Cricetulus griseus: one gene and its partner. The protein of the gene in region 2 purifies or fractionates together with the protein of the main gene of each other region. This does not show direct contact. Links are inferred from orthologs where the notes say so. Each region holds a gene or a part of one and is shown on either strand. Other genes may lie near its edges.

Evidence for each region.
Region 1: the proteins of Cdc25a (region 2) and Ccnb1 purify together in Homo sapiens (affinity purification with mass spectrometry; 3 studies listed by BioGRID, with this or other methods). This does not show direct contact. The link is inferred for Cricetulus griseus from reciprocal best matches to the Homo sapiens genes CDC25A and CCNB1.

What each region holds. Positions count from the first base shown.
Region 1 is NC_048595.1:319,286,106-319,290,318, forward strand, and holds the end of Ccnb1 (G2/mitotic-specific cyclin-B1), read right to left. Parts: intron 4,193-4,213; coding exon 4,034-4,192; intron 3,844-4,033; coding exon 3,607-3,843; intron 3,367-3,606; coding exon 3,226-3,366; intron 2,759-3,225; coding exon 2,648-2,758; intron 2,421-2,647; coding exon 2,313-2,420; 3' UTR 1,369-2,312; downstream 1-1,368. UniProt on the Homo sapiens protein: Essential for the control of the cell cycle at the G2/M (mitosis) transition.
Region 2 is NC_048597.1:217,356,801-217,362,027, reverse strand, and holds part of Cdc25a (M-phase inducer phosphatase 1), read right to left. Parts: intron 4,823-5,227; coding exon 4,703-4,822; intron 2,691-4,702; coding exon 2,556-2,690; intron 2,070-2,555; coding exon 1,995-2,069; intron 1,855-1,994; coding exon 1,675-1,854; intron 1-1,674. UniProt on the Homo sapiens protein: Tyrosine protein phosphatase which functions as a dosage-dependent inducer of mitotic progression. Directly dephosphorylates CDK1 and stimulates its kinase activity. Also dephosphorylates CDK2 in complex with cyclin-E, in vitro.

The DNA.
Region 1 (4,213 bases), on a different chromosome or scaffold from region 2:
AAACCTCCTTACCAAACTCAAAAATTCAGAGATGGTTAAGTGTAGCTCAAGTTGTTAAAAGCATGTTTGAGGCCTGAGTTAGATCCTCACCACCACCTTCATATCAGTAGTATAGCAGGCATAGTGAAACATACAATTCCAGTATTTAAGAGAGGCAGGCCAGCTGGAGACAGCTGTTACAAGTACTGCATTCCTATCCCTCTACCCACAGAAAACCACAAACTATCAAAATTCAGAACAAGTGATCTTGTAGTTCCCCACCCCAACTCATCCATCAACCCCTGATCTTAAGACTCAAGGAACACTAAAGAGGAGGGGGAATATTGCTAAGAGCCAGAGGAACAGGAGGACTGAGATTGTCTCCTTGAAATGTTAGGGAAGTTACATCCATGAAGTCTCAACAATATGGCTGCCTAAACAAGTCTTCAACAAGGATGCCAACACTAACACAAAAGGGGAAGTCATGGGGCCTCAACCTAGACAACTACAGGCAACTAAGGAATGCTGAAAAAGTCTTTCCTAATAAGTTCTCTACCACCTGCCTCTGTCTCCCGAGAGCTGGGATTAAAGGCATGCACCACCATTGTCCAGAGCAGATTATATTTATACACATACAAATATACAATGAAGCCAGAGGCCACGAATTTGAGAATGTAAGGGGAGGGTTACGTGGGAGAGGTTGAGGAAAGGTAAAGGGAAATTATGTAATTATGTTCTAATTTTAAAAAGATAGTAAAATATTTTTTCACTACTATTGTGCAGACATAATCTCAAAGTTCATGTGGCAAATGTCTGATAATGCCAAGTACTTGACAACAGTCAAGCTGTATCTGGCCCCAAACTCCTAAAACTCAATATAAAACAATCTGTTATTACAGGGGAAAAATTGTTTAGATCAGAGGCCAATAAATGTGCACTCAAGATGTTATCAGTGACACAACTGGACGTTCATCTGGAAAACTCTTCCATCATATCACTTAAAGTTTATTGAAGGAATATATACCTAAAGAGAAAGCATTTTAGAAAAGTGAATTTTGAGACAGGGTCTGGCCTTAAATCACAAAGGTCTGCTTGTTTCTGCCTCCCTTGGTATTGAATTAGTGTGCACACTTCCTAGTTGGTTGACCTTAAGACTGAAAATTATCGACACGTTTCTTTACAGAAAAACACCAAAGCCGTGCGTTGGTGGCACACGCCTTTAATCCCAGTACTCGGGAGGCGGATCTCTGAGTTTGAGGCCAGCCTGGTCTCCAGAGTGAGTGCCAGGATAGGCTCCAAAGCTACAGAGAAACCCTGTCTCGAAAAACCAAAACCAAAAAACAAAACAAAACAAAAAAAACCACTAAACAGTCAAAATGAGAAATTGGGGAAGCTTTCCATTAATAAATTTTATTCAACTTGACATCAGATGTATAAATTAAAACAAACAGAGACAGGATTTTTGCCAGTTAAGTGTCATAAGACAGTGGAAAGATAGAGGAAATGGCACCTTGGTATAGTGCCAACAACACAAAGTCTCATCTGGCTTCATCAGAATTTAAAGCATATACCCCCTGGGAAAGCTACTATGCATACAGCCAAGCAAGGCATAAAACAACATTTTAGCAGTATTGTGTTTAGAGGCAATGAGAGAATGCAATTTGAATGTATTGTAAAGGATCACTGAATACATTACATACAGTATGAAATGTACACTTAGGAAATGCAATATAGGCATTAAAAGGAATATTGTTGAAAAAAATGAGTCCATATCTCCTTGACAACATATGCATGATTACATTTATATAGGACATTGAGATTAAGGGGCAAATTCTTTTTATACCTTTAATTTTAAACATGCTATTTCCCAAGCCAATTAACAAATAAATAATTACACAAGAAAACTGGGGTTCAGATCTGAAAGTCCATAGCTCAAGACACAGTGAAGGACAGCAACCACCTGAAGAAATAGAAAAGGGAACTAAGGACAAGCTGGTAAATTGACAGTTTAAACAAGAGCTAGGCAGAGGGCTTTGCAGGATGACTTAAAAGATATGACCAGGACACATTAAAGAAGGAAGTACATAAACATATAGGCTACAATTACGTACATTACTTGGATTCTCTGTTAAACTAAAAGCAGTTTCAAAAATAATCCTAAATGTTTTAGACAACCCTTGTTATCCTAGAGTCAGAACAACCAACATTCAAATGAGGTAAGCTATGAAAAGTAAAACAGCCTTTATTGAAGAGCAAGTAAACACTGTATACTATGTACAGGTGGCACATGGTGCCAATTGCATTTGCCGATGTAGTGTAGTGGTCCACTTGAGTTATGCCTTTGACACAGCCTTGGACAAATTCTGAACTAGTGTACAATTCAGCTGTGCCAGAGTGCTGATCTTAGCATGCTTGGATGTTGCATACTTGTTCTTGATAGTCTGTAAGAGAAAAGCACTATAATCAGGGAAAACAAAAACCATCCCACTGGGGTGTGTACATGGAGGGATTAGAGGGAGAAAAGAGATTGGAACAATGTATTACATTTAACTTCAAAGATGAACATAAAACCAAACCTCTCCAAGCCAACCTCTAGCTGGCTTCTCCCTGTCTCCAGAGTGCTGGGATTAAAGGTCTTAAACCAGCTGTGAAGTTTCAATGAACTTACCATGTGCTTTGTAAGGCCACGGTTCACCATGACTACATTCTTAGCCAGGTGCTGCATGACAGGCAGAAGGGATTCTTCAGTATAGGACAGGTAGTGCTGCAGGGTCGGTGTCTAAGACAACAACAAAAGCATGTTAAAACACCAGCCACTTCCAGAAAACTGTTCTAGATGCTATTCAAGAGTCTAGCAGGTAGATAGTGAACGGTAAACACAACTGAAATTTAAATAAATCATCTCTTTGCTCAGGTGTGCTCCTCCGAGAGCCTGTGCTTCAATTTAACCATAGCATTATAGATGCTGGCTTTTCTACCCCAAGGTCAGGACAGCATCTGGTACATGAAGAATGCGTATGGGTCTTAGACCACTTGGTGTAGCTTTCATGTGTGAAAGGATTAACAGACAGACTCCAAAAGGGTGTTATCAGAAAGATGAAAAACCTGAAGAATGGAAGCATTCTAAGTCGGATGGCACCACATTTTCACCACCATTCATTTACTCCTATTGAGGAAGCAGAAGGGCCACAAGGGCAAAAATGGTGCATTCAAAGGCTGTTTACAATTGGTTTGGAGACTGCTTACCCATTCACCGTTGTCAAGAATTTTCAGTGCTAAGCAAAAAGCTCCAGCTGCAATCTGAGAAGGAGCAAAGTGCACCATGTCATAGTCCAACATAGTGAGCTCCATGAGGTATTTGGCCAAAGTATGCTGTTCAACGTCAACCTGAAACAGATCCACATACATACCACTGAGCGTCTTTTGCAGTTTTGCTTTTGCGCTAACTTACAAAGCCCGATCTGTGACTACAAACTCTCAAATACAATGGTCCACAGAAGGCTTTAAGAGTAACCATATAATATCCAACCTGATTAGAAATAATAACAGCCATATCCTTCTCCCATGTACTTATATATCTACCGTATTCTCTAATATAGCAAAATAAAAATTTCAAGTAATGTGTACCTCTCCAATCTTAGAGGCTCTACGGAGGAAGTGCAGAGGCAGAGGGCGACCCAAACTGAAGTTTAGAACTCTTAGAATCTTCATTTCCATCTGTCTGATTTGGTGCTTAGTGTAAGTATTATTAGTCACAAAAGCGAAGTCACCTATTTCTGGAGGGTACATTTCTTCATATTTGCTTGCAATAAACATGGCAGTCACACCAACTAGCTGCAGCATCTTCTTGGGTACACAGTTATCCTGCAATTGAAATGTCAATGAACATGTACTTGAACATCTCAACTGGTGGCACCTTATCTCCCTGTAAAGACAGATACCTGCCTACCATGTAATGGGACCCTGGGTTTGACTGTCAGTGTCCACTCCCCCCTCCTCCAAGAGTCTTCTAGAACCCGGGAATGAAGAACTCTCATTACTTAATTACACATACCTGCATGAACCGGTCAATAATGGAAACAGTCATGTACATAGTCTCTTGCAGCAGCCTAAATTTCATTTGAACCTGTATCAGCCAGTCAATTAGGATGGCTCTCATGTTTCCAGTGACTTCACGGCCCAGTAGATATCTTGGTCTAACTGATTGTTCTTCCTGCAAAAGAAAAATGTCATT
Region 2 (5,227 bases):
GAGGTTAAGAGCACCGGCTGCTCTTACAGAGCAGAATATTGTATACATAATAAATAAAATCTTAAAAAAAAAAAAAGAAAAAGAAAAAAGATGGCTCAATGGGTAAAGTTGCCTGCTGCCAAGCCTGATAACCTAAATTAGACTCCCAGGACCATATTGTGGAAGGAGGGAACAGATTCCTGGAAAGCCAATCTCTGACCTACACACTCACTAGAATGTATGCACACACAACAAATACAGAAGCTGGGTTTGGTAGTTTACACCTTTAATCCCAGCACTTGAGAAACAGTGAACCTAAGGCTGTCCAGGGTGTGGAGTGAAATCTTTTCTCAAAAATATGAAAAAGTTGGGCTGAAGAGATGGTTCAATGGTTAAGAGCACTTGACTGTTCTTCCAGAGGTCCTGAGTTCAATTCCCAGCAACCACCATGGTGGCTTACAACCATCAATATTGGGATCAGATTCCTTCTTCTGGTGTACATTCAGAGCACTCATACATAAATACATGAATAAATACATCTTTAAAGACAAAACAAAACAAAAATGAAAAAGTCAGTAAGAAACCACAGGCCCTAGCATTCAGCAGGTTTAGGCAGAAAAACCATGAATTTAAGATCAACCTGGGCTACATAGGTTCTGCCTTAAAGGGAAACATCACATCTATCCCTGTTTAGCCATTCTGTTTTATAGACAGGTTCTCATGCACCATGGCACATGTGCACACCCCCACACACAAATGTTTAAAAAGACCAATAAAATGGTGGGTGGTGGCCGGGCGTTGGTGGCTCTCGCCTTTAATCCCAGCACTTGGGAGGCAGAGACAAGTGGATCTCTGAGTTCGAGGCCAGCCTGGTCTCCAGAGTCAGTGCCAGGATAGGCTCCAAAGCTACTCAGAGAAACCATGTTTCGAAACAAACAAACAAACAAACAAACAAACAAAAAATCCAAACCCAAACAAAAACTCAGGCATGGCTGTGATTCCAGCACTAGGGACATCAAGACAGAGGAATCAAAAGTTCCGAGGCCACCATAAACCACATAGCACCAGGCAGCCCAGGCCACAAGAGAACCTGCTCCTAAAAGATAAAAACAACCATCAGAACACAGTCGGGTGAAATAACATTTGCCAACTGTCCCAGTATTAGAATGGTAAAAAGCAAAAAGATGGTGAAACAAGCAGAATATGTAGCACTCTGGAGGCAGAAGCAGACAGATCACTGAGTATGAGGCTAATCTGATCTATACAGTGAGTTCTAGGACTGCCAGGGCTACATAGTGAGACAGTCTCAAAACAATAAACCCGCCCCCAAAAGTAGCTACAATGAATGTAGCTTAAAAATAAACAGGAGCCAGTGAGAAGGTGCAACAACTTAAGGTCTCTTTGCTGCTGAGTTCTAAGCCTGGGAGCCACATGGTAAAAAGAGAAAGGTCTCCAAGTCCTACTCTGACATCCACATGTGCACTGTTTATGTGCCCCTACCCTCAAATAACAAAACCAAAGAGGAAAATAGGAGTGGACAAGGAGCTTGTTGACCAAGTTCTTGAATAGGTTCAATCCTCAGCAACAGGCAACCCCAAACCAAACCAAAAACATCTCATAATAGGACTGCTGAGATGGTTCAACAATTAAGAACACTTTGTTTTTGTAGACCAAAGGAGAACTTGCAAAACTAACCTCTTGGGTTGGCTCTAGATTATCTGCCTTTACAGGACTGGCCATGCTCTTCCTCCGCTTTGTATTTCCTCGAGGGGACTCGTCACGAGAGCGCTCTGTTCTCTTCAACATTGCCCGAGTGCTGGAGCTGCTGCTGGAGCTGCACGGGGAAGAGGAGTCAAGCAGCCTGCATCGATTGCCCTTAGGGTAAGAGACAGAGCCACCTCGATTACAATCTGATCACTTGAATGACAAGTCCTAGATTATTCCAGTCAACATAGTTATGGACTACTTTGTTCAGCGGCCAACTACTGAAAACTCCACATACTGGAGTAACTTACAAGGTTTGTAGGTCTTCTCATGACAAGGGGAGCTGTCCAGAGGCTCGCCATGCACGAAGGGGTCTCCTCATCATTCTAGAGCAAGAGAAAAAACTGTTTTTAAATAGATCCAGTGGAGGGGCTGGGAAGAAGAAAAGGACCCAGTTGAGATTAATAAATGCTTTGCATTTAACTCTCCTAAAGAGTGCCAGACAAGCCTGAATACATTTTTTTGTTTTGTTTTGTTTTTGGGGAGGAGCCTTACTTGTAGCACAGGCTGGCCTAATTTGTGGCTATGGCAATCCTGTTCAGCATCCTAAATGTTGAGATTACAGGCATTACCACCAGGGAAGGCTAGCACCTCCTTTTTTGGTACAAGAGATTGAACCTGAGGCCTTGCGCACCCTAAGCACACATTCCGCCACTACTCCCCCTGCAATAGGATTTAGTCAAGCAGGGAAGAGTCCCAATAATCTCACAAATCAATCAGCCAGCTGAGACTCCAGGAGCTGTTTTTACTTAGGAGCCTTCTCCAGTGGTAGCTAGAATGAGTAGGCACACCCTCACACCCACAGATGATACCTTCAGATTCTCTCCATCGAGAAGGTCTATGAAGCCATCATCCTCATCAGACAAAGTGGCTTTCACAGGGGACTGGGATGTAAAAAGAGGACTGAAATGTCCTGATTCATTGTTATCACTTTCATTTGAAGATAGCTGAAAGACAAAATTAGCAAGAACTCTAGTCCATTTTGATTTGCTTAGCTGGATTGCTCAAAAAAAGAGATAAGCTTGTACACCATGTGGGAACCTGGCATCCTCAGAGATCAGAAGAAGACATTGGATTCTCTAGCTCCTGAGCTCTTACTTTGTTTTTCCCTTTTAAGACGGGGTTTCTTTTGCTGCCTAGGCAGTCCTGGATGGAACTCATTCTGTAAACCAGGCCTCAAATTCAGAGATGAGCCTGCCTCTGGGGTTAAAGTTGGCACCACCACTGCCTCTGAGCTCTTCTTGCAGTCTAACTGCAAGCTGTGGCAGTGCACAATCTGTTGGAAATACCAGTCTCTACCATAAAATAGTATACCAAAGAAAGTTGAACAATACCTATGTAAATCCCATTCAGACAGATGGAAACAAAGAGAACTTGTTCTAAAGCCTTTCCCAGTCCTTTCTTACTTTTGGAGACAGGGTGAGCCAACACTTGTGAACCTTTCTTCCACCCCCTCAAATGTTGAGATCACAAGTGCACACTGGATTAAATGACAGCTGGGGCTACAGAGATGGTTTGGAGGTTAACAGCAAGCATGGCTCTTGCAGAAGCTCAAAGTCTGATTTGATTCCAAGTATCCACCTTAGACAGCTCTGTTTTCTGTGATCCTAAACCTCTGGCCTCCTCAGCCATCTGTACTCATAAACAGCCTACTCACTCCATAATTAAAAGTAAAAATGATTTAAATAAAACACAGCTGCCCAATTTTAAATTGAGAGATTATAATGTCTCAGACACTAAGACAAAATCTTTACAACTATAATCTCATTTAAGTCACAGCACATACTATTTTAGTCAATCCTTTTTTTTCTTTGAGATTAAATATTCCTAGACTCCACCCTGTTTTAGCCGCCGGAGGAGCTGGGACTATGTGTACCAACATACCCAAAGAATCCTTTGATTTTTGTTTAATAAAAGGAAACTTATGCTTAAGGTTACCAAGATCATTTACCTCACCTATTTGACACCCAAACCTGGAAAATAAGTTGGCTGTGGTGGCAAACACCTGTAATCCCAGAGACAGGAGCAGTTTTCAACTGCATAGCAAATTTGAAGCTAGCCTGGGATTTTAAGAGATCCTGTCTCAAAAAAAAAAAAAAAAAAAGCAAATAAGAATCCCAACCCAAACAAAAGCTAAATCAATAAAATTTTCACTGGCTTTTTAAAAGTCTGCATCCTTGGCTGGAAAGATGGCTCAGAGGTTAAAAACTCTGGCTGCTATTCCAGAGGACCTGGGTTCAAATCCCAGCAACCACCCTTAATGAGATCTGGTACCCTAGTCTGGCCTGCAGGGATAAATAAATTAAAAAGTCTGCACCTGGGGGGATGGAGGGAGGGGGGAGGGAGAGGGAACTGGGATTGACATGTAAAACAATCTTGTTTCTAATACAAATAAAAGAAAAATCTGAAAAAAAAGTCTGCACCTCAGCATCTGTGCCTTTAATGATCAAGCAATCATAGAAAATCATGGCATTCTGATCCCCAAGCATCCATCAAATATATTCTATTTCAGATATAATCTCAAACTGTTATCATGAACTGGGGAATCTACAGTTAAATTCTGTCTCTTAACACATCCTTTGACAAATAAATCAACTTTTCTAATGAAACTTTCTAACCTGCCAAGAGGTAACTCCAGATAATTCACAGCCTTCTTCAGCCTCCCAAATGTTGGGTTTGAGTCGCCACACCTAGCAATAACAGTAAACTTGCCTTTTTTTCTTTTTGAAAAAGGATTTCATGTAGCCCCAGGCTGACCTTGAGCTCATGGCTGAGCTGAGAATAAACCTGAATTCCTGATCATCCTCCCTCTGCCTTCCAAGTGCTTAGATTATAGGCATGTACCATAGGCTCAGCATTAATAAACTCTATGCTGATACAACATGTACTAATGCACATAAGCATACATGTTTGCAGTGTTGAAAACTCTCTTCCCATGACAGAAAGCCACAACACATACCATACAAGCTGGGGCTGAGTTCTGCCTGTGTGTGAAGAAATCTTTACTCTCCTCATGTACATGGGCATTCAGGCAGCCACGAGATGCAGGTCTTATTGGCTTTTTAAATTCGAATGCTTCCTGCAAAACAATATTTGATATATTTTCTGTCTAATAAAAACCAGCTTTAGGGCTGGTGAGATGGTCTGGCAGGTAAATACACTTGCTGAGAAGTCTGAAGATCTGAATTCACCCTTAAGATCCACATGGTGGAGGGAAAAAGACTTCTGTCAGCCACCTGTGTACCACACACAGCAAGCTCCCACCTGCAACTTTCTCTTTCACTCAACAGGATTAATTAAAAAATTATTGTTGGGGCTAGTGAGATAGCTTAGCAGTGAAGAGGAGTTTTTCTAAAGACCCAGGTGTGATTCCCAGCACACACAGGACAGCTCACACTCATCTGTAACTCAAGTTTCAAGGGATACGACACCCCCCCCTGGCCTATGCGGGGATCAGGCACATACACAGTATACAGACACACAA